4 linked regions of the Arabidopsis thaliana genome follow. The protein of the gene in region 2 interacts with the protein of the main gene of each other region in a pairwise test. Each region holds a gene or a part of one and is shown on either strand. Other genes may lie near its edges.

The links.
Region 1: the proteins of AT5G07340 (region 2) and AT1G47530 interact in a protein complementation assay, tested with the Arabidopsis thaliana proteins (one large-scale study listed by BioGRID).
Region 3: the proteins of AT5G07340 (region 2) and SVL4 interact in a protein complementation assay, tested with the Arabidopsis thaliana proteins (one large-scale study listed by BioGRID).
Region 4: the proteins of AT5G07340 (region 2) and AT2G33250 interact in a protein complementation assay, tested with the Arabidopsis thaliana proteins (one large-scale study listed by BioGRID).

The regions. Positions count from the first base shown.
Region 1 is NC_003070.9:17,447,064-17,455,347, forward strand, and holds AT1G47530 (MATE efflux family protein), read left to right. Parts: upstream 1-4,489; 5' UTR 4,490-4,660; coding exon 4,661-4,930; exon of another isoform or gene 4,931-5,224; intron 5,225-5,325; coding exon 5,326-5,521; intron 5,522-5,610; coding exon 5,611-5,956; intron 5,957-6,052; coding exon 6,053-6,139; intron 6,140-6,224; coding exon 6,225-6,281; intron 6,282-6,373; coding exon 6,374-6,731; intron 6,732-6,813; coding exon 6,814-6,900; intron 6,901-6,993; coding exon 6,994-7,047; 3' UTR 7,048-7,398; downstream 7,399-8,284.
Region 2 is NC_003076.8:2,312,408-2,320,149, reverse strand, and holds AT5G07340 (Calreticulin family protein), read right to left. Parts: upstream 2,938-7,742; 5' UTR 2,851-2,937; coding exon 2,740-2,850; intron 2,677-2,739; coding exon 2,607-2,676; intron 2,375-2,606; coding exon 1,239-2,374; intron 1,161-1,238; coding exon 1,089-1,160; intron 1,009-1,088; coding exon 898-1,008; intron 815-897; coding exon 692-814; 3' UTR 501-691; downstream 1-500. Other genes in the region: Tudor1 (TUDOR-SN protein 1), read left to right, coding at 1-28, 107-129; AT5G07330 (NFU1 iron-sulfur cluster protein), read right to left, coding at 3,509-3,988, 4,069-4,086. UniProt on the Arabidopsis thaliana protein: Calcium-binding protein that interacts with newly synthesized monoglucosylated glycoproteins in the endoplasmic reticulum. It may act in assisting protein assembly and/or in the retention within the ER of unassembled protein subunits.
Region 3 is NC_003076.8:23,493,749-23,502,388, forward strand, and holds SVL4 (SHV3-like 4), read right to left. Parts: upstream 3,854-8,640; 5' UTR 3,762-3,853; intron 3,655-3,761; 5' UTR 3,639-3,654; coding exon 3,527-3,638; intron 3,391-3,526; coding exon 3,094-3,390; intron 3,012-3,093; coding exon 2,902-3,011; intron 2,812-2,901; coding exon 2,313-2,811; intron 2,237-2,312; coding exon 1,916-2,236; intron 1,828-1,915; coding exon 1,688-1,827; intron 1,616-1,687; coding exon 1,132-1,615; intron 1,049-1,131; coding exon 750-1,048; 3' UTR 501-749; downstream 1-500. Other genes in the region: FIP1[V] (FIP1[V]-like protein), read left to right, coding at 196-252; YKT61 (SNARE-like superfamily protein), read left to right, coding at 4,529-4,721, 4,870-4,943, 5,012-5,101, 5,191-5,295, 5,512-5,577, 5,789-5,875, 6,330-6,380; TIL (temperature-induced lipocalin), read right to left, coding at 6,764-6,949, 7,034-7,408; RR18 (response regulator 18), read right to left, coding at 8,037-8,102, 8,180-8,640.
Region 4 is NC_003071.7:14,093,500-14,100,391, reverse strand, and holds AT2G33250 (uncharacterized protein), read right to left. Parts: upstream 3,024-6,892; 5' UTR 2,939-3,023; coding exon 2,534-2,938; intron 2,209-2,533; coding exon 1,714-2,208; 3' UTR 1,641-1,713; downstream 1-1,640. Other genes in the region: AT2G33255 (Haloacid dehalogenase-like hydrolase (HAD) superfamily protein), read right to left, coding at 34-198, 418-552, 678-738, 830-872, 1,264-1,597; XID (myosin XI D), read left to right, coding at 3,478-3,534, 3,825-3,947, 4,043-4,186, 4,360-4,505, 4,595-4,751, 4,861-4,919, 5,010-5,169, 5,287-5,436 and 7 more.

The sequences.
Region 1 (8,284 bases), on a different chromosome or scaffold from region 2:
ACTGAAGAGACAACAAACCGACCACACCATTTGTTTAGTGTGAGCTTACAAGAGTTGAACCAACTGTATTGACACATAAATTGTGTTTAGAGAGTTTTCTAAGTGGCATTATCTATTATAACTACATAGAACTCCAATTAGTTTAGGCAGAATATTTTTTAATTGAATACGACACTAGATTTATATAATAGTAACGGGCCTTAATGGATCTTATGTACAAGAAAAAACCCTTAGAATATTTGTGTATAAATACTTACATTATCTGAATGAATAAAGCAACCCTTACCAAATATTTCAAATAGTGATTGTCTGAAACAAGCATCATTCGGGGCAAAGAAGACTTACTTGCTTAGTGGAAGAAAGTCTTCATTGAAAATAACACAGCTAGTACTAGCAGAAGTGATAACATACCGAAAGGAGATGAAGAAGTTAAGAGGCAAAAGAGTCGGCCCAATGATGTGAAGACGATGGAAGATGTGACACGAGTTGCAACAAACAAAACAAAAGGCATTACGAGACTCTTTCGTTGTCGTAATTTCTCACCCCTTAAGATATTTGTTTGTTTGGTTGTGAATAGTTTATAAGTAGAATTCCGGTTTAAATCGAAGAATAATATTCGACATTTGCATATCAAGAGGGAGGACTAATTTTACTTTGATCAAACACGTATAATCCTTTATCTTATAAAGTACAAATCACCTAACAAATCATATTATGTCACATGGCTTACTTCATAGATTTGAAAAAAAAAAACAATGAAAAAATGATTAACGGGCAAGAGTAACCTTCTCAAAATAAGGCAGTTTGAGTTTTCAAAATTTATTCACACGATGCCAAGATTTATTAACACATTTTTCACAATAAAATCATGTATGATTAATCATACGCTGGATGGTAAAGAAAAAGCGTATGATTAATTGTTTTCTCAAAGGCGTCACATCTAATACATCATGTATCACAGTTTATACCTTTTCCGCATTCACTTCTACCATATCTTAAATCTTAAATATTTTCTTTGTTTTTGTGTTGTTTTTTGGGTTGAAAAATTAATTGAGACATCATTGTAAAGGTTTGGTTCTAAATTTTATCTTTATATTTCTTAGATTGTTCTCATATTATTTTATCTATGACGAATTACTAGATTATACTTATCATTCATTTTCATATTTTAGTTCCAAACTAAATGAAAATTTTGATGGTTATATTTTTATGTTTTTAATTCAAAATTACATATGTATAATGAAAATTACATTTTTGCATATTTAACGATGGAGTTTTGAAAATATCAATTCCCACCATTTCACAAGAAGAAAATCAAATTCGGAAGATCCATCTCCATTTTCTACATGAAATAAATTATTATAATATCATATATAATATTTTTGTAAAATTTCTTACATACTTCTTTCTAATCTCAAATAATGTTTTGTCCAACAAATTACATCAAATGGTTTACAAGATATATGTATCCTCTCTTAGGAAACTGACAACTAAACTAGAAATATTTTAGGAAGATATGCAAAACTACCATTTCTTACTACTCTTTTGCAACAATACACTTTTATGTTATCCATTTTAAAAAATACCACTCATCTGAACAGAATGACCAAATAACCCTTATCTAATAAAAACATGTAACTGGAACTGAAATTTTCCCACCAAATTTTTAGTGCCAAAATTTACTTTTCCCGCCAAAACAAAATTCCGCCAAACTTTTTTCCTGCCAAAAAGAAAATTTCCCGCCAAAATGTTTTTCCCGTAACAAATTTTTTCTCAACCAAAATAATCCTTTTAAAAATCCTTAGAAAGTTTTTTAAAAGCTTTGATAGTTATTAAAAACCCTTATAAATCATTTTAAAATCTTTATAAAGTCTTTAAAAACATATGTAAATACTTTAAAAATCCCTTTTAAACCTTTGTGAATCATTTTAAACCTTTTACAATAGTTTTAAAAGGATTTACAAGGATTTACAATGATTTTTAAACCTTTGTAAATCCTTTTAAAATCTTCTTAAAACTCTTATAAAGTCTTCACAATCATTTTTTAACTCTTAGAAACAAATTTGTTAGTATTTTAAAACATTTATTATTCTTTTTGAACCATTTTAAAACTCTTGTGAACCTTTACAAAAGGTTTTAAAAAAACTTACAAGAGTTTTTAAAGGATTTTAAAACTCTTGTAAATATTTTAATTTTTTTTTAAACTATTGTAAATCCTTTAAAACCCTTGTAAACCCTTGTAAACCATTTAAAAATCTTTTTAAAACTCTTGTAAACCCTTTTAATAATTTTGAACCATTTTAAACTCTTGTGAACCTTTACAAAAGGTTTTAAAAAGATTTATAAGAGTTTTTAAAGAGTTTTCTTTTAAATTCTTTAAAAATCTTTTAAAAACCCTTGTAAATATTTTAAACGCCTTAAAAATTCCTTGTAAATCTTTTAAAACACTTTTAAACCCTTTAAAAATCTTTTAAAACCCTTTAAAAATCCCTTGTAAATATTTTAAAACCCTTTTAAACCCTTTAAAGATCTTTTAAAATCCCTTGTAAATCTATTTCCAGCCAAAAAAATATTTTTGCGGGAAAAATGTTTTTGAGAAAAAAACTTTGATGGAAATTTTTTTTTCGAAATTTTTTGGTGGGAAATTTATTTTGGAATATTTTAGGCGAAAAAATATTAATATTTCATTTTGTTAACCTAAAACAATTTCGAAATATGAGTAAAATGGTCATTAAAAATTTAAAGAGGTATAAATGAAAATGGCAAATAAGAAAAGGTAGAATTGAAAAGGGGTAGTGTGGAAAGGACATTCTGAGCAATTATTCAATATTGTATGACTACTAAATTCTCATATGCAAATGTGAAATCAAATTTGTATTCAATCACTTGTTTATATAATGTCTGGTTCTTTAGATATTAGCTCACTTCAGGTAAGAAAACAAAATGTGGTAGCCTCATTACTTCATTAGTGCAAAGAAAGTGATTCTTTGGGATAAATTTGGATAATTTTGAATCAAAGCTGTAGTAGGACAATACACTTTTATAGTATTTTTTATTAAAGGGAAAACTCAACATCTAAAGGCAAGGAATATCCAACAGTTTGAACGCTAAACAATCAAGGGACAAGCAGAGCGTTTTCTAAATAAAGTTGCCGTTCTTTGAGAGCCGAGCTCGAACCGTAATCTGGCTTCATCACACACATAGTTCATCTTCCCGGTCGTCCCATCTCTGCAATCAGGAAAATGCAACCTCGATCCAAACCTCATATCACCTCTTTCCTTAATATTCTCCATAATATCTTTCACAATCACACCATCCATATCTCCTTCAGAGGCAATCGATGTAACCTTAAGCAGCTTAGGCCACCACGGTTTGATATTGTAACTAAATACTCACAAGAGTTAATCTATGTTAGTTTTCGAAACAAAAGAAATATGTGAACAAAACTAACAACCAAGGAGTGAAATCTTTTGAGTCCACATGCAATATGTGATACAACGAGGATTCATCCCTCTCAGTATAGACTAGTTATTCTGAAACATAGCTTCCTCACTACCGCAAGAATCCCATGATACAACAACTACGCTCTTACAACAATGGTTAATTTGATCACGATTCAATAATCATCTACCATGATTCACTCTCTTTTTGGTTAAAGTTCAAAGTAATATTTTCGCATTTCTTTGATATAAAACGATGTCGATTATTTGGTTCATGACTTTTTATTTCTCTTAGTTTCACAACAACTTCGCTCTCACAACAATGGTTAATTTGAGCACTAACCAATGACCAATTGACCATGCATGATTCACTCTCCTTTTGGTTAAGTTCAGACAGTGTAAAAGCTTTTCTTGTTACAAAATGCTGTCGATTTTTTGGTTCATCAATTTTATTAATTTCTTTTGCACTTTCACCAACACCTAATATTAAAAAGAAAATAAAAACAAGATCCACCAATTCAATGCGATAGGGTAAGTGACTAAATGTTCATTGCCGTTGTCACCCTTTGAACCCAATTTAGGACTCAAAGAGCCGTCTGATTATATTTAACCTTGGTCGAAGTATTTCTAACGAGCTGGTAAGTCCTCATTGGTCCATTATATTCACTGTCCACAATAATTTTAATTACTTGTACGACTCGGTTAACTCCTTCTAGGAAAAACTAAAGTGTACCTACCTAGTACATACGTACTTCTTCATATTACCACAAGTTTTTTTTTTTTTTTCTTGCATTCAACTACGTGTTTAAAGTTTCGGCCCCAAACTTCGGCCCAAAAACAAAAACCAAATAAACTATTACAAAAATCTTTGTTATCATATCACACTATCATTTCAAGTTTTCAACCAATCCATACTCTTAACAATCCCATTAAATTGAGATTTATTCATATTAAGAAATTATGCTGATAATATTTAACTACCAAATTAGGCCGATTCATACCAAAACTATAGAATATGTACTAAATAATTCCATTACCTTCGTTTAGTCATTTTTGGCGGTTTATTTCTTTTGGATAGATCTCATGTCAGACCTTTTTAGACTATTCATTATGGCACCTACCACACTAGTGTGTCTCCATCTTCTGTATTTATATACATATATCATAAGTCAGAACAAAGAGAAAGCAAAGAAGAGAAACTAAAACAGAGCTTTTTTCACATGGGAAAGGATAAGACTTTGCCGTTGCTTGACCCTCGTGAGCCACCGGAACTCACCGGAACCAAGTCGGCGTCAAAAGTATGGGCCAAAGAGTTCGGCGAAGAGTCGAAGCGGCTTTGGGAGTTAGCAGGACCAGCGATTTTCACTGCCATAAGTCAATACTCTCTTGGTGCTCTCACTCAGACTTTCTCCGGCCGTCTCGGTGAACTTGAGCTCGCCGCCGTCTCAGTTGAAAACTCTGTTATCTCCGGTCTTGCCTTCGGTGTCATGGTATGTTACGTAAACACCCTTCACACGTGTCAGGTTCTTGGTAATGGATAATGTGTTCTAATAATAGCCACAGAAATAAAAGTCAATATTTGAGGACTTTTTTTGTATTAATTAATATCAATATTCGTTAATATCAATGAAGTAGATTTTCCCATACATTTAAAATTGTTTCGTAATTGTGATTAAGTAAATCCTAACAGTGTGTTTTATATTCAAATAAAGTAGATATATTAATGTAGTTGAGTTCAGTGTTATAATATTTGTTATACAAGTAATCTCTACGAGGGTCCTTGTGTAAGCTCTCTTGAATTTTGTTGCTTGTCATTTAAGTTTCCTATGAAAAAAGCTTAGAGATCAAACAATATAAACATTTTGATGATGGAAAATGGTGGCAGTTAGGGATGGGGAGTGCATTGGAGACGTTGTGTGGACAAGCATATGGCGCGGGACAGATTAGGATGATGGGAATATATATGCAACGTTCATGGGTCATTCTCTTTACTACTGCTTTGTTTTTGCTTCCCGTCTACATTTGGGCTCCTCCTATTCTTTCCTTCTTCGGCGAGGCTCCTCACATCTCTAAAGCCGCGGGTATCATTCTTGTTATTCCTTTTTGCCAATTGGTTTTGAGTTTGGAGTCAATGTTCACGTAACAACTTCTGCGTTGTTATAATTTTCAGGGAAGTTCGCATTGTGGATGATCCCGCAACTATTTGCCTATGCAGCCAACTTCCCGATACAGAAATTCTTGCAGTCACAGAGGAAAGTTCTTGTGATGGCTTGGATCTCTGGAGTGGTTTTAGTTATACATGCAGTTTTTAGCTGGCTCTTCATTCTTTACTTTAAGTGGGGACTTGTAGGTGCAGCTATCACTCTCAATACCTCGTGGTGGTTGATTGTTATTGGTCAGCTTTTGTATATCTTAATCACCAAATCAGACGGTGCGTGGACTGGATTTTCTATGCTAGCGTTTCGGGACCTCTATGGATTTGTCAAACTTTCCTTAGCCTCTGCTCTTATGCTTTGGTACCTATCCAATTTTTTTTGGCTAGAAGATAGCTTTAGACTTACGTTAGCTGAGACTTCGCTTGTAATGAAAGGTTAGTTGTTTTTGTTTTGCAGTTTGGAGTTTTGGTACTTGATGGTTCTGGTTGTTGTTACCGGTCTCCTTCCTAACCCGTTGATACCAGTCGATGCCATCTCCATTTGGTAATCAATTTGTGCTGATCTTTGGTTAGTTTCTCACTGAAAATAGGTTTGTTTAGTAACATATTTTATGTTTTGGGGTTCACAGCATGAATATAGAAGGGTGGACTGCCATGATTTCGATCGGGTTTAACGCTGCGATTAGGTAAGTTCTCTACCTTTATGTTTCAGGAGCCACATTTGGAAAGCTAATAAAAATCTCATGAACTGGTGAACTTTGTCTCTTGGTGTGATCAGTGTGAGAGTATCGAATGAGCTGGGTGCAGGAAACGCAGCGTTAGCCAAATTCTCAGTGATAGTCGTCTCCATAACTTCAACTCTTATCGGGATAGTGTGCATGATTGTTGTCTTAGCCACAAAAGACAGCTTCCCTTATCTTTTCACTTCAAGCGAAGCTGTGGCAGCAGAAACCACGAGAATAGCCGTCTTGTTGGGCTTCACTGTCCTCTTGAACAGCCTCCAGCCCGTCTTGTCAGGGGTTGCGGTTGGAGCGGGGTGGCAGGCTCTGGTTGCATACGTGAACATTGCGTGTTATTACATTATCGGACTACCTGCTGGTCTTGTTCTTGGATTCACACTAGACCTCGGCGTTCAGGTTAGCTATTTACTAATATGACCATTTTGTATTAGCCTTGTTCTTTTTAATCTGGTGTTAAATCATTTGTATATTTTTGTAGGGAATATGGGGAGGTATGGTAGCTGGAATATGCTTGCAGACACTTATATTGATTGGAATCATCTACTTCACTAACTGGAACAAAGAGGTCTCTTACTTTGTCTTTTAGTTGCTGCTATGTTCCTCCTTTGTGTTTGGTTTGATCATTTCATTAATTAGCTTTGAATTCTAAATTATGCAGGCTGAGCAAGCGGAGAGTCGAGTTCAGAGATGGGGAGGAACGGCGCAGGAGTGATCAACAACTCCCTTAGGACGTGGACTATATCAGTTATTGATCTTTTTTTGTCAATGTTCAATGTTGAGAAAATTGTTTATCGGAGAACAACATCATCTCTTTTTGTTTTTTGATATGCTTAAAGTTAACGAGTCTCTCAGTGATTGTTAGAGGGGTACGGTTTGTTATGTGTTAGACTTATGTTAGATTCTAGGATGGTTGTTGCTAAGCCAAAGTTCTTGATTAATTTTAAGTATGAGATTTAATCTTCATAAGCTTGTTGATCCTTCGTTTTTATTTTAATGGTCAGACTTGATCCAATGTTTATGTTCATTTGAAGGCGAAGATCTTACCGTTTGTCAAACATAGCTAATTAGTGGTGGTATTAGCAACAGATCTTTAGGACTGTCGTTGATCTGTTGCAACTCAGTCACTAAAAATTAACAAATCTTATATAAACAAGAGGAATATTAAAAAGAAAAAAAGAAGATGAAAATGAATATCAAAATAGTTGTGTGACGATACAATATATTAGAGATGGACTACAACAATTCATGAATCAGGGTCACAGACTAACCGTTAAAGCAGTAAATTTGTCTGCCCATCTCATAAGTGTTTGAATTAAAATTTAGGTCAGTCGAGAGCTGTGTGCTATATACTAGATAGTCTACCCTTAATTACTATGTTTGGTTTTCGCATGGAGATTTACTATAAATACACAAACAAGTAATAGTGCTCAAATTGTGAATCAACCCATGCACTAATCCTTTTCATCAATTCGGTCACGGTTAGGATAATGGATTCCGTAATATGGTAACAAATGCATTTTCTGAAATATCAAACTAACATCATTTAATGATTATATTGTTTGATACATTTTATGATATATCAAACTCTGTAAATCAACCAATATATATACAATTACAGTCTAACTTATCTTTTTTTTTTTTAATCTGTGAATGGTTTAGATTTGCATGGATTTAAGGACATAACTAATTAATAATGGTTTAGCGTCTTGTTGTTTTCCTGTTTGGGCATGCGTGCTTCTCTTGAGTCTTTTGACCTTGTAATCTCTATTATTGGAAATTTATGAAGAAAAAAAAGAGTACTTGTCAAAAGATAATCTTATAGTTGGGTTTTACTGTAAGATATTGAAGTTTCGATGTTTTACTTATATCTGAAACGATTGATATTTGCAATAATAATAGTACGATTTTTTTTTGAAATATTATGAAAATCTACAAGAGCTCCGATTTTG
Region 2 (7,742 bases):
ATAAGGGGAAGTTTGAACCATGCTTACAGTTTTTGTGTGTTTTCTGGTCCAACTTATCTTTCCATTCCTTAAGCCGTCTTATTTATGTTACACTGACATTAGAAAGAACAAAAAAAGAGCAGAGACTAAGCAGGAAGGATATGGTCGTTGGAGCAACTTTGGTCTTATTTTCTGATGAAGTGACTGCATCATCTGCTGGCAGTCAGCCAGCTGGTGAATAGTGCTGAGCTCGTTCTTGCCCGTGGTTTTGGAAATGTGGTTAGACACACAGATTTTGAAGAGCGATCAAACCTTTATGATGCTCTTCTGGCTGCTGAAGCTCGTGCTCTGTCAAAGAATCCATTCTGCAAACAGACCTAACTGTGGTTAGTATATCATACGAGTCTCGTGCCATGGCTATCAAGACCCTTTGGTAGAGAAGTCTAAATCTCGAAGCTAAGATTTTGTTGTAAACACTCGAGCTAAAGACGATAAACTGATAATGCTGATGCATGTGATGTACACAACCCATTACTTATCAAATTTCAACTCATAAATGTTGTGATCCACATTCAGATTCATGTGAAACTAAAAGCATACAAAAAAAACATGTTACAATAATCGTCTTAATATCAGGTCCACTACTGTTTGTCTATACGGTGATAAATCAAAACAAAAAGCCCCAAAAATCAAAATCTAATCCTCTTTTTATCTAACTCTCACGCCTCGTCTGCCTCTTTCGTGGTGCAGCCACCGCTTCTGCTTTCTCCTCTGTCTTTGCCTCGCTTGTCGAGGTCTCTGCAGCTGTTTCCGGTTTCTTCTTTTCTACCTTAGCCTACATACATACCAAGAATTTCGTTAAGACTCAAACACCCGCCAACCAAAACATTACATCTCACTGACATGTTTTTTTTTTACCTTTGCACCACCAAATATGAGCTTGAAGAAGAGAGAGAGGAAGACGATCACGATGGAAATGAGCACACCGATGGTTAAGTTTGGCTGTGTTTCAGCTTTCTCAATAAGTTCCTACAAACGAAAATTGCAAATTCTCATTTAAGATTCTTCATTATACAATATGTTTCTAAAGTCTGAAAATGAGAACTTACCATAATCTTTGACTTGTACGCACTAAGGAAAGAAATGTCTGCAACCTTGTACAAGAGGTCGAACACCTTCTTCTGCAGTAATGCACATACATAATATAAGTACAAAGGATATGTATAAGCATTCCAAATTTGTGGCGAAAATCAATATACCTGGTAACTCTTGAGACCATCTGCCTCACCAGCAGCTTCATCCTCTGCCTTTTGTTTCTCTTTCTCCACATCAAACTTGGGCTTCCAAGTGCTTTGTCTGTAAGTTTCAGCAACCTTCTCGTCTTTAGATATCAAGATGTTGTCAAATAAGATACCGTCTTGCATTGTCCATATCTCAATACCAATGGCAGCAATGGGCTCCAAATTCGGCCTCTCAAGCTCAAAATAATCAGGATTTGGAATGTCTCTTGGTTTCCAGATTCCCTTGTAAGCTGGGTTATCTATGAGAGGTGAGCTCCATTTGCCCTTGTAAGCAGGGTTCCTCTTCATCGGTCTCTTCCATTCGCCACATCCGGGTGCTGCCTCACACTTGGTGTTGGAAACCTTAGGAGCCTCCCACTCACCATCTTCCTCGTCATCCCAATCTTCTGGCTTGCTTGCCTCGGGGTCTTCAACCTCTACAGGCTCATCATCCAACCATCCTTCGGGTTTCTCAGCTTCCTCATCTTCAATCTCCATGGGTGCATCCTCATCCCAGTCATCAGGCTTCACAGCATTAGGATCAGGAATCTTGGCTCTCTCATCCCAGTCTTCTGGCTTCTTGTCCTCTGGATCAGGGATGGTCTTGGAAGGAATCAACGGAGGCTCAAAGTCTTCAGCAGACAGTAAATTACCCTTCTTCTTCTCCTCACCATCGACCAAAATCCTCACCTCATTATCAGATTTCAAGACCGCAGTGTAGACATGAGAAAGCATGTCAAACGGAACAGAAGGAGGGAACTTGAGATGGTGCTCAACAAACTCGCCACTCTTGGGATTCTTATGCTTCAAGATGAAATGAACCTTGTTGGTAGCACCACACTTATCAGGTCCAAACATGATAGAGTAAGGAGAATCATTATCAAACCCTTGAGGAACCCATCCAGCTTCTTGAGGACGAAGATACTTTAAGTAAGCACCACCACACTCAAGCCCTTCTTGGAAACGAGCCTCGTATTGAAGAACAACAGTTCCTTCGTTAAGGTTTAGAGGCTCATCAACATCAAGCTCTTTAACTATTCCGTACTTCTTAGCTTTCTCACTCACTAGAAGTCCATAATCATCATGCCCTTCACTCTTCTCGTGCTTCCACACACCTAAAAGATTTCAAATAAGAAGCAACCTTTTAAGAGCTCACACAAAGTCTGTTTCTTATCCACTTATAGTAAAAGTAAACATTTCTAAATCTGTTCCAATAAAAACCAAAACTTTAAGACCCCCTTTTGATTGTAACTTCCATTACACTAATTCTAACTTGTTTTTACTTCAACAGACGAAAGAAAACCAAAAAATTCAAAACACGAATTCACTACGACGACATGGCTTTACCTTGGTATTCAGCTTTCTCTGAAACGACCCAGCGACCATCAAAAGGCTCGTCAAACGATTCATACAGGATCTGAACAACAACAAAAACACCATGTTACTGGAGATTCGATGAACAAATCTTTAAAATAGGAACTTTTTCAAGGAAGTGACCAATCACCGTTTGGTCGTCACAGTAGCTAACACTGGGAAACGAAAGCAAAGCTACAAGAAGCAGCGAAACGAATGTAATAATCCGTTCTCTCATTATCGCAATCTCAAGAGAAGAGACAAAACAGAGACTCAAAATCAAATAAGACAGAGAAGTAACTACTAAGTAAGTACTAAGTAGATCAGAGAGAGAGATATTCTTTACTCTTTAGTCCTCGTATTTCTTAGACCTACGAACGTCATTTTGATTGTTATCTTCCAATGAATATCGCTCGCCAACGTGACACTACCCTATCACCTCTCGCCAAGTCATCCAAAACAAAGCACCGACGCGTGCAAAATTTTACCCCACTAGGGCCTGGTCCTGGGCCTTGACCTGGGCCCAATTAGAATGCGAATGAATCCTCGGACACTCTTAGAAGGTTAGGAAGTTAACCATTTTATCTCATTCAAACCTAGACCCAAGAAATTGGTTTCTCCCAAATGAGTATTTTTACTAAAATCGTTAATCCAGAAGAAAATAGAAGCAAAACGAAGTTGTATTATTACTTCGACCGAAATTTCATTAGATAATTTACATGCTGTTGAAACAACACAAATACACTCAAAAGTTGCTTGATCACTGTAATACATCCAAGAGGAAACAGGATAAAACCTTAACCGACCCATTTGAAAACTCTTTGATCTCCTTCAGATGTTTTATTTATCGACAGAAACATGGAAAACAAAACACATAAACCAGCCTTCATAAAAACTTAGTGAGCTGCAGCAGCCGATATCTTAGGATCAACGCCAACATCCTTAAGCGTCAAGGCACGAGGTTTATGAGCAAACTGGTCTTTCCTGATTGGGTCAGAGATCACATCCTGCTTGTCAAACTCTTGAACGTGAGCTATTTTCCTAAACCAAGACCTGTTAGCGAACCGGTCCGCTTCGTTTAGAACTCTATCTGGATCTTCGATCTCGGGAACGGTCTCTCTCATCTTCTTGTTGACACGTACGCCAGGGTTTTCATGTAGATGAAGATACGCAGTGTAGACACCAAATGTTACTGACAATGAAATCAATCCTATGGAGACGTAAACTGGTGTGAAGTCACCTTTTGTTGCTGCCGCTGTGGTGGCGGTTCTCTGGCCACCATACTCTGTTGCCGCCGTAGAATACGCTTTGGATCTTGGTACGGTTGTCGCCTTCGTGTAAGTTCTTAACCTCTGCACTACGTTTTTCAAGTGACCCTTCAAACACAAAATGATAAAAGTCAAATCGTGAAGACCAAATGAATCATAGAGAAACGACGACGTCTTAGGTTACTTACGGTTGATCGAACGGCCATTGGTTGTTCTTGGCGAGTGATTAGTAAAATCTAGCTGAAAAGAAGAGTAAGATTTGTACTTTTTGTTGTTGTGGATTGTGCTATACTTGAGAGCGTTTTAGATATCGGATATAAAAGGAAGATGGAGACATCTGGAGTAGAGAAGAGAGTTGTAGAAGTAATACGTGTAAGCATTTAAGAACATGCAGTTTAATTCGTGGAAGTGTCTTGAAGATCCACGTCAAATCAGATTCCTTATAATTGGGATTCACTGCAGTAATGCGCGTGTTTTATTTCATTGGTTCTGTCAAAATTAAAAATATGAGATATTAATTATATTTTAAATTTGTATGCCTAATGGATAAGACCAAAATTTGTGTATCTTCTTTTACTGGTAAGCTCTAGCAACCCTCGTCTTACCACGCGACATGTGACAATCACATTGCTGCTGTGTCGATGGAACCGTGCCTTGCATCGAGTAAATGAACCAATGGCACGAAAATCCATCAAGTACTAAATGAACCTATGTCACGAAAGTATGTTCTTTTGTTTTTAAGACAAAAATGAAGAGATTAAATATGTTTGGTGTCAATTCTAATGAAAATAGTTATATTTTCTCGTCTTCGTGTTATCGTTGTATCGACATTCAAATTTAAATTCATATAAATATTATGTAAAAAAGATGGAGAAATATTAAAACGACATTTTCAACGTAATATTTATTGTAGCCATTAATTCTATAAAGTTTGTCTATATTTAAGAAATATAAAATAATTAATGCATTTTTTATGGAGTTCTTTTTATTTCATAGTGCCTTTATTTAAATAGTGAATTCAGTACTATTCATAATTTTAATAGAAAAGTAAAAGTAAACAAGTTATTTGGGATAAAGACTTAACTAAAGTGCTATTTGGGATAAGACTTAACTAAAGTGGGCAAATCTTTCTCAATGAGGAAATTAAACAAGTTTTAACTACTGATTTAAATACAATAAATTGATACGAGTTGAACTAGTGTGCTTGGTGCTTACTAGCTCCCACTTTAATGGAATTAGTGCTTATTCGACGTAATTATTTGCTCATTTCTATTTTTGTTATAAATAAAGCGGTGTAAAGAGCTTTACAATCCTATATAAAGAAAGAAAGGCCTATACATTAACTATGTAAACAATATATATAATCGTATTCACATTTCATCTCTACTTTACGTTCTTTTCAAACTATGAATATTTTTCTTTGTATCGTGACTTTTACTCACTCACCACAATTTTTTAAAAATGATGTTACGTACTTTTATCATCAAGAATAAACTAAATGGCTTAAAGAAGCATTGGTCTTAACTGATTGATGATCAAAGAGTCTCTAAGTTAACCACGACTGTAAACTAAAACCTAGCTACGTAGGTCATAACTTTCAGAAGAAGAAAAAGAAAACTCAAGTTTTTGTTATCCTAGTTTTATTAACTGAAAATGTAATTATGAAAATAACTAATTCCATTTTATTTTCTGAAAAGTTAAGTATTTTTTTTGTCAAACTGGTACAAACTCAATATTAGTGGGTTGAGCTGATGAGGTAAGTGGTCCTCGTATGACCACTAAACTAGATCAGCTCCTTAGAAAATTAGTATTTTACGAAAATATATGATCTATTTAGTAAAAAAATCAAAAATGTATATATTATAGCTAGTGGAATGACGACATTTCTATATAATATATATTCTTGTGTGTGCTAATAGTCATGCAGAAGTCAAAAATAAATAGCATGTTTTTTTTTTGACACTATATATTAATTTTACATTATGAATCACTTATTTACGACTACCACTTAATCATTTTTACGAGTTAAACTTCTATTTTTTTTTCTTTATTTAGCAAAGTAGCCCTACTAATAATAAAGCAAGAAAAAGTATTAACGATAAACAGTAACAACAACAATAATTTATGCTGCGAACTTTAGATAACACATTAATATAATTCCAGCAAGTGGAAGATATATAGCAAAAACTATGCCGACGAAAAAATAATTAAAGAATAATTCCATCCCTCTACAGAAACCACCTCGATACTTCTTGTCATACCTTTGTCTGAATATATCTTATTCCACTAGCTTCAACACTATTATATTGTTCAAATCGTTCATTTGCAGTATAATTGAGTTTTTCGACAACTTTGTTAAACTATGGTTCAAATTTAACTTAAAATGTTTAGAATCAAGCGTTGTACTTGTACGTGAAAAGAAAAAGAAACAACTTTTTCTATCAAACAATTTGAACTAAACTGTTGGGGAGAGCCAAATGCTTAAACATCTTTAATGCAATAATGCAAATGGATTTCTTTTAAAAGTAGATGCACGTTATAAAAATGTTTATTAAATTTTTACCGACGTTAGGTATAACTTTCAAAAAGATTCCATGGGTCGAAAACTTAACAAGACATAATTCATGTTTAAAATATATTGTTTAAACAATAATACGATAATAATATACGCCATTATATATATAAGGTTTTGGATATGGGACCAGATGAAGCATTATAAATGGGGTGAAGAGAGACGTAGAAGACTAAAGCAACCACTAACAGTTAGCTTCGTTTTCATTAATCTAAGGAAGGGAAAGAGATATGGAGGAGGAAGAAACCGAGAAAGAAGACGACGACGTTAAGAAGCACGTCGAGCTACGGCTAATGGAAGTTAGCTCGGTTCCGTTATCTTTCTCTGGTTCTGGTTAACAACAGATCAAGGAAGAAAACAAACGGCAAGTCAACAGAGGCAAAGGGAAGGCTACGCCTTTCTTCTTCGTATTTTCTCTTTAATTTTTCTTTCTGTTTTCTCTTATTTTTCCGGTGATGTGTAGATTCTCTAACGAGAAGTATATATATCCCTATTGTTTGTAATAGTTTTATGATCTTGTTGTTTCTTCTAAAACTATCTTTTTATACATTAAGATCCAAGTTACGATTTACAAGTATAGTTGACTCTGACTCTGACTCCACGACCGAACGAAGTCTTTGATATAATGACTATTCACAATCAACCCTTTCCAACCAATTCTCTTGTTTTGGGGACTATCACGGTTTTTGCTTTCTTTTGCTTGTGATCTGTCTGACAATCAGTTATTTAAGAAATTTGTTGATTTGCAAGTTTTGTTTAAATTACTCATTTTACTCTAATTTCTAAATTTTAAGTTAAATCTATATTCTAAAAAAACGAAAAGAAAAGCTCGCTGATTTTTAAAATAAATATAGGTTAAAGCTGAAAACAACATTTAAAACTATATATGTCTAGGTATAACATTGTTGTCATCATTCTGAAACATAGTCTAAAAAAGAATATCAATGATCGCAACAAAACAATAATTGAGATATATAAATCATAGGTGTGTTATAAGTTATATTTTTAAGTCAACGAAAACAGTATAAATATATTGCTGATAACTTCTTCTTTTTTGTTATAAGAGTGTTTTTTTTGTTAAGTTGTTATAAGAGTGTTAACTTTATTATATTGCTGATAACTATTTATCAAAAAAATTTCCATCAAATTACAAATCTATAATTAAATTTTATCACCATAAAAATATATGTCCCAATTTCAAGAATATACTTTTAATATTTTGTTTTCCATTTAATTAAATCAGATCATATACTTAAATAGGCTATACACTTTAAAATATTAGAAAAGTGA
Region 3 (8,640 bases), about 21 Mb from region 2:
GCTGAGAGTCATAAACTGGAGTTGAAATAAAAAGCGATGAACTGTGGCCCTCTTTGGCTGGGTTGAGGAAAGTTTGATTCTCAATGTAGCTTACGATGCTTAAACGGATGACATGAGATTCTCCCATCCCACGGAGCAGTTGTAGCAGTAATGCGATGAAAGATCAAGCTCAATGGAGATTATTTAGGTGTTTAGGGAGAGTATGTGTGGGATGAGCGAAGTTGTGTAAGAATAGGGAGGGAATACGCATAAGGATAACTCTGAGAGAATACTCTTGTAGTAGTTGATGTAACTTTTGTCAAAGATTATTGGTCTTTTAGTTTTGTTCTTATACTTAGCGCCTCCGGAGAGAGCGAGAATATTTTAAAAATACTTGACAGCACTGTATTATATACTGTAGTAATTTTGTTACTATTTTAAATTTGTACTCGGCCTTTGGTCTTGATCATTAGTGTTAACAATGTGAGTTATCAGAAAGCAACAACTATGAAAGTAGAGACTGTGGTAACGAAGGATCGTAAATAAAATATGAAAGATTATCAAGACTCAAAATCTTTACCGAAAAAAACATTCCTATGACAACAAAGAAAGTTTCTGTAGAGCTTTTGATCTATAACAACAAATCACTGTTTGATGCATATTTTGGTTAACATGAGTAAAACATAGATAACTCAAGTTGTGTCAGTTTGAAAACGCTGAGGGCAAACATGTTACAACCTATATGAGGTTATATGGTGTGATCAATCTCTTTAGGCTGTATAAAGGAGTCCCAAAGCCATCATTGCCAGCAAGGAAAGGCTGAGATTAGCAGCAATGGCAACGGTGCCTGAACGAGGAGGAGTTTGTGGCGGACCACCTTCAGTTCCATTGGAGGCCAACTTTGCAACTGGAGGCAGAGGCGGATCAATCACGTCTTTGGCATCAAGAGGTGGGTTTGGGGGAATAGCTGGTAGTTGTGCTTCCTTGTCTGCCACGGTGAGTAGAGCTCCAGCATCTGCAGGTAAGATGGCATAGGGCTGGTCTTTGTTCAAATCTGAACATGGACTCCCTGCATTTGCATCAAATATAATTGATCAGCCTTATCTTGGTAATGTTTTTGTTTTTTGTTTTTTTGTAGAAGTTTAAACTTACTTAGGTATCTGGTAGCGGTGGCAGGGAACTCCGTGATGACTCCATCAACGCCTCTCCCTGCAATGAATGTTGCAAGCTCTATCGTAGGATCAGAGAAGTAGTCGAACGCTATGGCGATGTACTCATTTCTTAGCACCGAGACGTATACAGAGATATTCGCTTTGTGCATTTCCTCTACCACATTAGTTTTCCCCGTGGCAAAGCTTTGGGAGACGGTGATGAGGGAAGTTCTCAAGAGATTGACAGCATCTGCATGCTTCTTGATTTCTTCGATGGATGTCTTAGGAGCATCTCCGATCTCCTTGTCGATACTCAAGACTCTTGTGTAAGGAGGGACAGCCTCGAAACTAGATAGAACTGAACTGTCATCCGACTGAATCAAAACCTTCTGGGTTGATTGCTTGTCGAGTGTGGAATTTGTAAGAGCAGACTTGACTACGTCTACGACTCCTAAGCCTTTCTTCGAGGCTAAATAAGCAGCATTCTGTCAACAAAAACAGTGTTAGTGGAGCTTCCTTGTGTTAGTCAAGGAGCATTTGGAAGTTAAATGGCTTGCCTGAATGTTGATTAAAACTCCGGTGACTGCCTTTGCTTTGCCGAGCTCAAGGAAGTCCGCAAGAGTCGTGAACTTCCCGGCGTTCTTGTTTGCGGGGTTTCTCTGGAAGCCCGTGGCAGTGAAGGGGTTTTCTATTTGTGCTGAAGACAAAGATATCCCAATGCTCAGTGACTTAGTTGAGAATAAGATTAGTTTAAGAAATCTATAGAAAAGAAATCAGTTTCTTACGCTTCACAGACTGGATCTCGGCCCATGTAAGATCAAAAGAGAAGATTCCGTTGGTAGGCTGGATCTCAGGAACGCTGGTGGCTCGGGACATGAAAGTAGTCCTGGCGGTGGTACTTGCTGAGAGGTCTGCAGCATCATGGCAGAAAGCGATTCCGTCTTTGGACATCTGAACAGAGCAGTCAATTATGTCTGCTCCATCGTCGATTGCTTTCTGGTAAGCCAGATCAGTGCAGCCTGGATAGTCTCCGCTTGCTCCATTGTGAGTTATAACCAATGCATGCCCTGCTTTGGGGAGATTGCCGTTTTGGTGAGAAAAGCAAGCTGCAAGAAAACAGACGCTTTAGCTTCTTCTTAATAATCAGCTATCTGAGGAAACATATATAGCAAGTCATCTCACTGATTGATTGTGATGCTGTTGGCGGGAAATCGGTGATGACACCATCAACAGAGAACTGGCCATTGTCCACAAACTGGAGATACTCAGCAGAGGGATCATAGCTGTAGTTAAAGCTGGTGCGCAAGTCGTTGGCAAACCCTGAAGCATAGACCTCTAGACCGGCTTTGTGAGCATCAGCCACAAAAGTGGTGGCGGGCTTAAGGTACTTAGCTGAGTCAATGGGCCAAATGTAGTCTTTGGGCACAAGAACGCCTGAAGCAAAGGCCTTGATGGCTGCGAGGTTCTGCTGAATCTCGCTGTACTTCTTGTTGGTGGTGGGCTCAACTGCCTCGGGGTCTTTGAACTCAAATATGAGCTTTGTCTTGGCCCTGCCCGCGTCCATCCCGATGCTCTTCAAGAAACCAATCTCTGGAGATGAGATGACATTAATGCCGCGGAATCGCAAGCTTCTCAGGTACTCGGCTGGGCTCAGCTTGTGTTCCATGTAGAAGGCATCGTACTGCACATTTGCATTGTTTGTTGTTTTGATGAATCAACAAAAAAGCTCCATATGTTGGTTAATCATGTTCTCAAAGAGAAGAAAACATACCTGAACGCTCAACCAGAACTTGGGAGGCTTGGTTCCAAGGACATCCTCCACTGCAGAAACCGACATTTGGCCGTCGAAGATGCTAGGCCGAGAGAAGATGTTCTGGACCACTGCTCAATAATACAAAACATGAAAATGTGTGGTGGTGGTGGTGAGCATTGAAGGGAGGAAATGAAAGAGAAGAAGACATACGAGTGACTTTGTTGAATATGGTGTCGGCATCGTAATCAATGACAAACCAGCCCTTGAGGTCCTGACCGTTGACCTTGTAGGTCTTCTGGGCTTTGGGGAAGACCGAGGAGATGGTGGTTGCATTGTCAAGTCTGATATCTGACAAGCAAAGGCCCACACCGTCCTTAGTCATCTGAAGGTTGCACAACATTGTGAAGCCAGGCGAGCTGGTGCCAATAGCCAAGTCGTTTGCAGAGATGCTTGACTCAGGGAAAAGACCCGAGAAGCCCCCTCTGGCCACAACGGCAGGCTCTTGTCCTGGAAGACAAAAGACAGGTACGGATTCTTAGAAACAAACAAACAACATGGTATCTTAAGTCTTAACATTAAACAACAACAAAAAAAAAAACATGGTAGTATGCAATATGGGCATACTCTGTAAAAGGATGCTTACCGTTAAGGGTAAGCCATTTCTTGGCAGGAACAGCTGCGGCAGCAGCAGGAGTCTTGGGTGCCGCAACAGAAGAGTGTAAGAAAAGGGAGAAAAGAATGAAAAACCTCAGCATCTCTATCTGATTGATCCTGCATTTGTGTGTAACGTACGTACCCCAATGGAAAAGCAAAGTCAGGATACATGTAACAAAAACAGAATTGTCACATTTAAGAAAATTGTGAAAGAGAGATCTTACAGCGAGAAAAGAACATGAATCCCCTCTCCTGCTTGTTTTCCTCGTTTAGTTAGAGGAAAGGAAAAAGAAGAGAAAGAGGAGATGGGTCAAACAAGGTTAATTAATGGTAAAAAAAAGTAACTTGCTCTCATATCCTCCATTTATGGCCATTTACTCCTTTCTATTTTTATCTCTTCTTCTCCACCATTCCCTTCTTAACCGCTTTTTCTTTTTTTGATGCTTTCTTACATCTTCTTTGCACAAATGGGTGTAACACCCCTCAGTTTTGGACTTTGTACTATATTCATTTGTCATACATGTATGTAGTTAAAATGACAATATTAGAGTTTGGCATTCGGACCAAACCAAGTTGTCCGATCTAAACCAAACCAATATTCCGTTAATAAGAAAACTCGATTGGCAAAAATTAAAATATTCTTTGGTTTCAGTTTTTGCCTAGACTTAAAATTCTTAAAAATCCAATTCTATGTGATGGAAAAATCTTTGATTCCGGTCCAATTCTGCATCAATATATGCTAAACCGAACCGAGACTGCCCACATAAAATTGAATTGAACCAAAGGTTTTTAATTTTTACTTCAACATAGCGAATAAGAAAAAGAGGGTATATATTCATTATTCAATGTTAATGAGAAGGCGTCTGCGTTTGGTTCGACACCTCAAAACTTGTTTTGCCTTTAGCATCTCCGAGTAAGGAATCCAGGTCCAAAGCCTCTTCTCTTCCTCCTCCTCGCTTCCTTCTCACGCAACCTTGGATCCACCGCAGCTATGAAGATCACCGCCTTGCTCGTTCTCAAGTGCGCTCCCGAAGCTTCTGATCCCGTCATCCTCTCCAACGCTTCGGACGTCTCTCACTTCGGTTATTTCCAGCGATCTAGCGTCAAGGAGTTCGTCGTCTTTGTCGGTCGCACTGTCGCTAGCCGAACCCCTCCTTCCCAACGCCAGTCTGTTCAACACGAAGGTTCTTCTCCTTCTTCTTCTACCTCTCTAGATCGATTGTTTTCAAATCTTCTTTCTCCCGGATCTAATGCAATCTCCTTTCCTCTTTGATTTTTATTCGATTTCTAAATTCGGATCGGCTTTTCGATTTTGAAACTTTTATGATTTAGGATGTGCACCGTTTCTGATTCTAGATCTTCCTGGACTATGCCCCGGCTTTAATTTCTTGCGATTCTATCTTATTGTTCTAGTCCTCGAATTTGGGATAATTAGGGTTCGTGTTTTTATTTTGTTTTTGGTTTAGAGTACAAGGTTCACGCTTACAATAGAAATGGCCTTTGCGCGGTGGGTTTCATGGACGATCATTACCCTGTTCGAAGTGCTTTCTCTCTTCTCAATCAGGTAATATCATTATGTTGAAAGTGGTTCTCAATGCATCATTCGTAAGTTTTCCTGTAATTTGGGTTGCTTGACATTTAATTTTGTCTCAGGTCCTAGATGAGTACCAGAAGAGTTTTGGTGAGTCATGGAGGTCTGCAAAAGAAGACTCCAATCAGCCTTGGCCATACTTAACCGAAGCTTTAAACAAATTTCAGGTTCTTCACTTGTGCAACTGTATTCGCTCTTTTACTGTGAATTTTGTTAAAACTGTAGTTATATTAAGCTCAGTTAGGTGGACATTAGAATCCAATCGAATGATTCATTCTTCATGAATTAATTTTAGTAGCCCCCATTGTTTTATGACCATGTTGGATTTTGAGTGATTTGATCTTAAATTGATTTTGGGATTGTCCCGTATTTGTAATCTTCAGGACCCAGCAGAGGCTGATAAGCTGTTGAAAATCCAGAGGGAGTTGGATGAGACAAAGATTATCCTTGTAAGTGCTGTCTCCGGTCCTTTCTTGTAGACCCTTATACATAAGCGGTACTTCCTTTTCTAAGTTTCAGTATACTTGCCAATTATACATAAATGCTGTTCTGTCGGTGAGTTTACTTTCTTCTGAAAAACACCAAAACAAGAAGAAAGTCTTGGTAGTTATGATGGATGTCCCTGTCTCCGTAAGACTGATTTTTTGTTCTGTATTGTAGCATAAAACCATTGATAGTGTTCTAGCCCGTGGTGAGAAGCTGGACAGCCTAGTGGAGAAGAGCTCAGATTTGAGCATGGCATCACAGGTAACATTCTAAAGTCACATTCTAGAAATTCTTATAGATTTAGTTTCCTTTTTTCCCTGTCTCGATCTCTGAGCATAGTTGGTGAACACGTTAGAAAGGGTTGTTGATTTAGCAGGCTTATAAGTGTTGTTGATTGATAGAGGAACTATTGCATGTTATTGTTGGGGTAGATAAATAGAGGAAGAATGTGGATTTAGAATACCTTCTTTGAAAAAGCTTTCTGCTTCAGCCTGCAGACATTTGAGTGCAGTTTGAACTATACAGTTGGATTTTGGAATTATTAGGTTTGCTACGAAGAATCATAGTGTTTTTTGCTATATCATCTGACCATGGGGAGGAACATATGTATTAGTCATATCCTCTGGAATCTCAAGATATTCTTCGTTATTTAGATTAGGTAAACCATGTTTACTTCCAACATGAAAATCTGATTTGGTTGTATTGGTTGGAACAGATGTTTTACAAGCAAGCGAAGAAAACAAATTCATGCTGTACTATTCTGTGAGCTGGAAGTCCTGCTGGGTATATAGTCAACCAAACTTTTGCTGGGGGGAGACTGTTTTTTCTATCGTCTTATCTATACATATAATTCCGTCTGTAGTTTGCATGCATTATTTTGATTCCATAAGTCTCGAGTCGTGTGGTGTGTTTATCCAAATACATAATGTCAACTTCTGCAAGATTTGAATTGTCTTTCCCAGATTTGATCTGATTGAATTTGTGTGCGCTTCCTTATGGTAAAAGAGACGACTTTGCATAACTAGATGAAGATGTCGTAAATAGACAAAAGCAGATGATGGAAGATAACTAGAGTAGACAAAGGGGGTAGTATATTACACAGACAAAAGGATCAAAGAGGTGAAACAAAGTCTTTGTGTGCCGTGTAATCTATTTGCCGAAGAGAGATTTGAACCACCAAACGCCCTTGGAGTCTTCAGGGGCAGTGTTGGACTCAGGTGGTGTGTCACTCTGAGGAGTCTTGTGAAGCTTGCTGATGTCATAACCTTCCTCCACTGCCTTCTCCACCAGCTGCTTATACGTCTCTTCCTCCATTTGCGCCGTCCTGCTCAATATCTACACCACCCACATATACAGAGTCAATCATTTTTGGGATCAATTTCGATTATTCGTTAAAGAGAAAAAAAAAAGAGTACCAACCCAGAGATAACTCCTGGAAGGCTGGCCAATGAGAGCGTGCTGGTAGTCAGGATCGATGTAGAGCACCCAGTAGTCTCCGGTGACGGGAATGATTGGGAGGAAAGGAGGGACATAGAACTTGACTTTGAGCTTGGCTTCGTCGCTTTTAGGATCGGCCTTATAGGCGCTGCCTTCGATAAAACCCCTCTTCCCGTTGCTCCACGTTTCGTTCAAGACGTGTATGGTACCGTCGGGGTTAAGGGTGTAGGTGGCGCGAGTGTCGACGCCGTTCTTTGGCTGAAACCTTGATGGGAAAGAAGCAATCTCGTACCAACGGCCCATGTATCTCTCCACGTTGAGCCCTTTCACCACTTCCATCTCTTTCTTCTCTGTCATTTCTCTTCTTTTTCTTTTCTTCTTCTCTAAGATTTCGATGTTTTCTTTGAGGTAAAAGGATAAGAAGAGATTCTGTTCTTTATAAGGAAATAAAAAAATAATATCAAGGAGATTTCGCTGGGACGAGAGGATGCCACGTGGAAAGCGTGTAGGGCAAGGGTTCTAGTAGCGTCTAGCAGTTACAAATGTGAATAAAGGTGGAGGACACAAATGTCTTCCTTGTTCTGTGGGAAGAAGGATACAATACAATGGGCCATACAGTCACATTTTGATTTGACTTCCTCTAGCCGTTTCTAGGCCCCACCAAATTATCCTATCGACATCTAAATATCTCTTCTTGTTGACACTTCAAAATAGCTCCATATGTAAACCAACGATCTCAATTAGGCCCATTACTATTCGTATATTGGTTTTGAATAACAACACTTATTCAGAAACTTTATAAAATAAATTTTTGTAACAGGCTCGCTTTCAATTCCAATTCATAAAAGAGAGTATGAAACAGGTTGGTGTACTATGATCTATTGACAGTCGGAGGAAACAATGTGGGAAGAAATTTAAAAAAATCACATGAAAATGGTCTCAAGTGGAGAAACTTAATGCAACTGGTAGAGAAAGAGATGACTAGCTAAGGTGGAGGAAATGAATCAAAGCCAAATCTAGTAGCCACTGGCACCATTCCGTTATTCTCCTCCTGCAACAAACACATTCACTTTCATTTTCTACAAACTACAAAAGCTTTTAATCCAATCAAGAAAACAACCGCGTTACCTGTTTCATCATCTCATTCATTATGTCATCGAATACATCATGCTGGTTGTCATTCTCTGGCTTTCCCGACTTCATCTCTGGATCCAGCATTGTAGTAGCTTTTCCAACATACTCTTGACTGTTGTCTATTGGGTTCATCAGTGACTCATCCAAGCCTTTGCTTCTGGTTGAATTGTTGTCTCTGAAAACCATGTTATCTGCGGGTAGAGGATACTCAATGTTACCGAATGGATTGTTCAGCATGGTGCAGTTCTGTTGCTCCCATTTCTGTCCGCCTAACGGATTCACGTTCTGCATGAAGCCGCCAAGTAATTGAGGATCACACTGCATCTCTCCACCAGGATTCTCTGCAGAAACCAAAGAAGTACAATCTCCCAGATTGTTCCCTGCACATGTCACTTGATCCGGCAAGAAAGCAAGATTTAGTGGTAAGGAACTCGGTGGGAATCTGGTTGTGTTCA
Region 4 (6,892 bases), on a different chromosome or scaffold from region 2:
CACTGAAACTACAAGATGAGGAACTTGGAAAAACTACGGGTTCAGGTCGAAGTTCGTCTCCAATAGGTTCTGGATTTTGGACAAGGAATCAACCTTAAAATCAGGTTGCAGACCGGAAACAGAAAAATCGTCTGGTCCATACCTTCCGGTTTCATCTAGCAAGCAAGTGAAGGCTCCAGCTCGTTTCCCACATGCTATCTGCAGAATCGAGAAAAGAAAGATCGATTACCAGTTGTAATCTTCAGTAAAGATGTGAGAAAAATAGTCTGAAAAGTTGGTAGGCATCCTTTCCACATAGAAAATCTTTAAGCAATGGCATGAGAAGATCCATTGTTTAAGCTTCTTTCATTGCATTGCTTATCGATTTGCTATGGAGAAAGGGTTGACCAAAGGCTTGTCATCATGTCTGTCACTCACATCATCTTTTAAGCTGTCACCAACCATCATGACTTCATTAGGTTGGATGTCCCATGTAGAACATATATGCAACAGCGGGTCTGGGTTTGGTTTATATGGACGAAACTCTCTGCCTAGTGCTGGAGAAAAGATAACCTATACAATGAAAAATAACTGTAAGGAACTGCCTCAGATTTCTTCTCTCTGATAAAAAAAAAAGAATGATCCAGCTAAACCTATCTCAGGCAGCTGTCAAAATGTCTTCAATTCAACATTCTTACCTCAAAACGTTGATGGAAGATGTCGATTGCCTTTTGAACATTGCGTGTAATTAGCCCCCTCCTATAAAGTAAAATACAAAATGTAACAACAGTCAAGTTATCTGAACAAGAAAACAAAAAATCATAGACAGAAGTATCTGAAAACCACAGACTTTATCTTTTTGGAATCAAGGAAGCCACATAGTTCAGCAGTACCTGCCACATAAATGATCACATATCAGAAGAGAATTAAACCTCTAAACGCCAAAGAAACACAGTACTCCTTCTAGATTTTCAACTGCTAAATCATCTTATAGAACTCAACAGCATAAAGTCAATGACCAGTAAAGGAATGATCTCAAATCGTGATGTGGGGCTCTAAGACAAAAGTCAAACCTCCGTTAGACCATAAAGTCTTCACTTTTAACAAATGTTCATTTTATCTTTCAGCCTTGAATTTGCAATCTTTTCTCATCTTTAACTCTACGAAATTCTCAATCTTTAACCCATTTTACGATAGATTATCAGACGAAAACCCAAATCCTTAACACTTCCTCAGCGCAAACACAAAATCAAAAATAAAAAAATAAAGCAGATGAATCCGTACCAGGCATGATTTGAAGCTTATCTATTCCTTGTTTCTCATAATCAGCAATGATTTCATACGCCTTCTGCTGTTTATCAGGACTCCACGACTCAATATGATGCAGAATATCAATCCCACTAGGGCTCTCTGCTTTGATTCGCTTGTAAGCATCTTCACCAAGAACAGCTCTATACATTGCGGCGAAATCGATGACCGGAACAGTCAGGGTTCCGTCCATATCGAATACAACACCTCTCAGGCGAGTTTTAGCGTTCGTCGTTAAATTCGCCATGGAAATCGAACAAGAAGGTCTGAGAGTGAGAGAAATAAATGTTCTTGATAAGAGGAAAGTCATGGAAAAGAAATGGTGATGCTCAAACTGAAATTGAGGCTCATAATTATTCTCTATTTTTAACCAATTTCGGTTCGGTTTAATTTGAACAACTTGGTTTGTTTTGGTTTAGTGGTTTTTCACTTGAGCATGTTTGTGTATGTGCTTAAGAATGGAAACAAAGACACCAACAATCTCAACAATAATGGTTCTGCTGCCTTTTCTCTTCTTACTCTCTTCCTCTTCGGTAACGGTTTCTTCTTCGGTTCGCTTGTTGGCCGTTCGGGAATGGTGGTACCAAGCCCGTCTAACTCGTCCCACCCACCAAACTTAGAAGCCATTCCAGCTGAACTACGGTTAACTCCACGGCCATTGACATTGTTTCTAACGGTTGATGGGTTGTATCGAATCCTGCTACTACTTCTCTCCACTTCTTCTTCTTCTTCCTCTATCCCGAATTGATTTGCTATTGATGTACCTCTGCGTTTATCCCAACCAATCAACTTCTGGAACGCATAAAATAACAATGATGGCCCGATTGCTACGGCTAGTGACACGAGGAAAGCTTTGGGTCCGGTGCTGAAGAAAAGCGATAAGATGATGAATGGGAGGAGATATCCATACGATTTGAATGCCTACAAAGTGAACATAAACCAAACACAATAAAGATCCCACACCAACAATAAGAGAGCAAAATCTGGTGTATGCAAATAAAATGCAGCTATATATCAACAAAGCCGTTTCTCTTATCTTTGAGCAGAAAGACACTATCTAGTTAGAAATCAAAACTAGTTCAGATTCACTACACAACGATATTAACTGTTTCTTACATGATCACCATAACCATTACCAAAGAACAATTTTGATACTTTAATCAATCAGCATTTTCAATTAGCAGTAGTAGATTCCCGGCTAATTTCATAATTAAGGCTTAAAAGATGCATGATTGAAACTAATTACCTTTAAAATCCAAACATTATCTACAATTTCCTCTAAGATCTTCCACAGGTCAAAATTAGCACTACCAATTCCACCACCACCATCATCTTCATCATCATCGTCTTCAACATTATCTTCAAAAAGTTCTTCCCATAGCTCCCGCCGCTTCCTTCCCCTTTTTCCCCTTTCCGTCAAACGGTATCCCCTACCGTCATCAGCGGCGGCGCATATTTTATAGCTGAATCTCCGGCGGTTCAGCTGAATTATCTTCGCCGAAGTTACTCTAGAGCATGAGGAAGAGAAACAGAGGAGTTGAGAACGAGAGGGAGGATAAGATCTAGGGTTGTGGAATCGCCAGACATGGAGGTTTGAGAAACTAAGATAAGTAGAAGCTCGCGGTAACGAAAGAGCTCCTCTATCCGCCATTAACGTCTGGCGAAGCGAGAACAGTGAAGAAAATGCTCTGCTCCATGTATAGACACACTCAACTTGCGCCACGTTGTCATCATCTCCTCCATTAGAATCGAATACTATAAACCGGCTTGGTCCAGGAGAAATGTTAGAACTGAAATCCGGTATAATTGCAGGGGTAATTTCGAGATCATCAAATGTCTGACCTGACACGCCTACGTGGATTCTCTTTTCTCTTCCTTTTTCCAGAAACGAGGGAGAGAGAGACGAAGCATCAAACAAGGCAAAAACAAAAAAAAACCAGGAGAGAATATTCCGAGGGAAAACGCGAGAAAATTTCTTACGTTCTGCGAGAATCTCCAGCTTTCCTGGGGAAATATTGGAAGGCAAAAGCCGAAGGGTTTAAGGTCTCTGTAATCGTCGGAGAAATTTGAAATATCGTCCGTAAAACGTGAATGTAGTCTTAATCTTCCGCATTTATAACGTCGATCAGAGATTTTGAAGCTAGTAGAGAGAGAGAAGCGTTTTGTGTTTGATTTATGGTGTTTGGATCCATGGTGTGGAAACACCAGCTGATTGGGTTCTCAGGGATTTTTTCTAATGTTTCTCCCGTTGGAAATCTTTATTCGGGATCATTTCTAGGAAAATCAGACCAGATTTGGCCGTGATAATGGTACGAGTCTCTCTTCTCTTATCTGCATTGCGATTTCTCCGTGTTCTTCATTTTTACCTTTTTTTTTTTATCTTCTGTAACCATAATTGCTATTTGAGCTGATTTTTATGTTGCCCCTTACATTTTAGATTTCATTATAAGATGTGTCTAAAAGAGAACAAAAGAACCAGCTAATGAAGCTTGACAATATTTTTTTTATTTGTTTCTAATATATTCTACTTTAATCAGGCTTCAGTGAAGGTAACTGTGGGGTCACAGGTCTGGGTGGAAGATCCAGATGAAGCCTGGCTAGATGGAGAAGTTGTGGAAGCTAACGGTCAAGAGATCAAAGTTAATTGCCAAACCAAGACGGTTAGTCCCTTTTCTCCAAAGCAACGAGACAATGTGTTAGTTCTTAAGGTACCTTAAGAATACATTGCTCATATTTGTGATGCATTTGTTTGTAGGTTGTGGCAAAGGTTAATGCTGTCCACCCCAAGGATCCTGAGTTTCCTGAGCTTGGTGTGGACGACATGACAAAGCTTGCGTATTTGCATGAACCAGGGGTTCTTCTCAATCTAAAAGCCAGATACAATGCAAATGAAATATATGTACGCTTCAGCATGTAACTCTTGTCAGTTTTCCTTCTTTCATTACACCCACTTATGAATTCTATGATTATCTCTACCATTGTTTTGCTGAAAATTACTGCACAGTTATAGCAATATCATTAATATTTCTCTGAAGTGTTTGTAGCAAGCTAATTTCTTCTTGATGGTTACAGACATACACAGGGAATATACTGATAGCTGTGAATCCCTTTAAAAGATTACCCCACCTATATGGAAATGAGATAATGGAGCAATATAAGGGCACAGATTTTGGCGAGTTAAGCCCACATCCTTTTGCTGTTGCTGATTCTGCATACAGGTAATCTTTTGTTGCATAGATGAAACTTTAACTAATGTTGCACTATCATTTTTTTTTGGGCCTCACCATCATCAAGAATATAAATTTAGAAAAATGATCAACGAGGGAGTAAGCCAGGCGATCTTGGTGAGTGGAGAAAGCGGTGCTGGGAAGACAGAGAGCACAAAAATGCTCATGCAATATCTTGCATACATGGGTGGAAAAGCTGAGAGTGAAGGACGATCTGTCGAACAGCAAGTTTTGGAGGTAGATAGTCTGTTTACAATGCATCTACATTCTTACTAGAGACAGACTCACTGAGTTTCTCTCTGTAGATATCTTCTTATTCTTCTCGTATTATGATCCTGTTATGCAGTCAAATCCAGTTTTAGAAGCTTTTGGTAATGCAAAAACCGTCAGAAACAATAATTCAAGGTGGAATGTCATTCACATTTCTTGATTTTTCAAGTTTATGTATGTTCTTGAAGTCAACCTTGACATATGTAGGCAAATCTCATATTGCAGTCGTTTTGGTAAATTTGTGGAGATTCAGTTCAATCATATGGGAAGAATCTCAGGAGCTGCTATTAGAACATATTTGCTGGAGAGGTCACGAGTTTGTCAAGTTTCTGATCCTGAAAGAAACTATCATTGCTTTTACATGCTTTGCGCTGCGCCAGAACAGGTAAACATGGTCCCTTGTATGTTTACATCAGGTCGAACATATGAAGGCTCTGTATGTCCAGTGCTTGGCCATATATGGGATTCATACTGAAAACTAGCTTCTGTTCTGAAATTTCAGGAAACTGAGCGGTATCAGTTAGGGAAACCAAGCACATTTCACTACCTAAATCAATCGAATTGCCATGCATTGGATGCAATTGATGATTCCAAAGAATACCTAGCTACGAGGAAAGCTATGGACGTTGTTGGAATTAGTCCTGAAGAACAGGTACCTTTTGTTTTTTCATTGACATGATCAGCAATGAGGATAACTCTTCTTACATTTTACTTTTGTAGGATGCAATCTTTCGGGTAGTTGCTGCTATCCTTCATCTAGGAAACATTGAGTTTGCAAAGAGCGAAGAATCAGATGGTGCAGAACCCAAGGACGATAAATCCCGGTTCCATCTAAAAGTTGCTGCAAAACTTTTCATGTATATGCTTCACTATTATGTGTTCTCGGATTACAGGTTTCTTGTCAATGGGAGGTAGAACCCTGATTGCTCTTTTTTGGGTAGGTGTGATGAGAAAGCTCTAGAGAACTCCTTGTGCAATAGGGTGATGGTGACTCGTGGTGAAAGCATTACAAAGCCTCTTGATCCCGGTAGTGCAGCACTAAGCAGAGATGCTCTTGCCAAGATTGTCTATTCTAAATTGTTTGATTGGTAGGTTTACAATAACGGCTTCTTTCTTAAGGGCTTATTATCAATCCTGGGATATAAAGTTTTGAAAGCTTACAAATTTATTGCTCCCAGGCTTGTGACTAAGATAAATAATTCCATTGGCCAAGACTCAAGTTCTAAGTACATAATTGGAGTCCTGGATATTTATGGATTTGAGAGTTTCAAGACAAACAGGTGCTTAACCGGTACGCTACCAAAATGTTCAATTTCCTTTTTCGAGTTGATTTATAAACTCCCTATACTGCTTCCTGCATGGCTGCCTATATGCTCTCTGATTTAGTCTTCTTCAAACATTGAGCAGATGGTTTGTTATTGGATTTCTTAAGTTTTAGCTACTTAGCTAGAGATTTTTTTCTGGTCTGGGACAATATTATTATTATTCTCATAATTGATTGTTCCTAGCTGTTATATGGTTCAACTGATAGCAGTTTTAATGCTTGTGTTACAATTACAACGTTGTCTTTCTCTTTTCACATTTTGCAGTTTTGAACAGTTTTGTATAAACCTGACAAACGAGAAGCTGCAGCAGCATTTCAATCAGGTTGGAGACTGAGGTTCTTTTCATATTTTTGATTCTTGATTGATCTAATTTTATGCTGATCCATATTCATGCATATGTTCCTCTCTTCTACAGCATGTGTTCAAGATGGAGCAAGAAGAATATACTAAAGAAGAGATTGACTGGAGTTACATAGAGTTCATTGATAATCAAGATGTCCTTGACCTTATAGAAAAGGTAAGTAGTATCACAATGAGTGGTGTTGGAATCTTTATTCCGTTTTCTAGCAGTTCCAGTTTCATACATATTTATTGATTTCTAGCACCTAATACAGAATTGTTCAATGTCAGAAACCTGGTGGAATTATTGCTCTTCTTGATGAGGCTTGGTAATGTACCAAAGCGTCATGTTCTTTCTTCACTGATTTCTTTTTACTTCTTCAATAAGTGGCTGAGTTTGTGTATGCCTCTACAGTATGTTCCCAAGATCAACACATGATACAC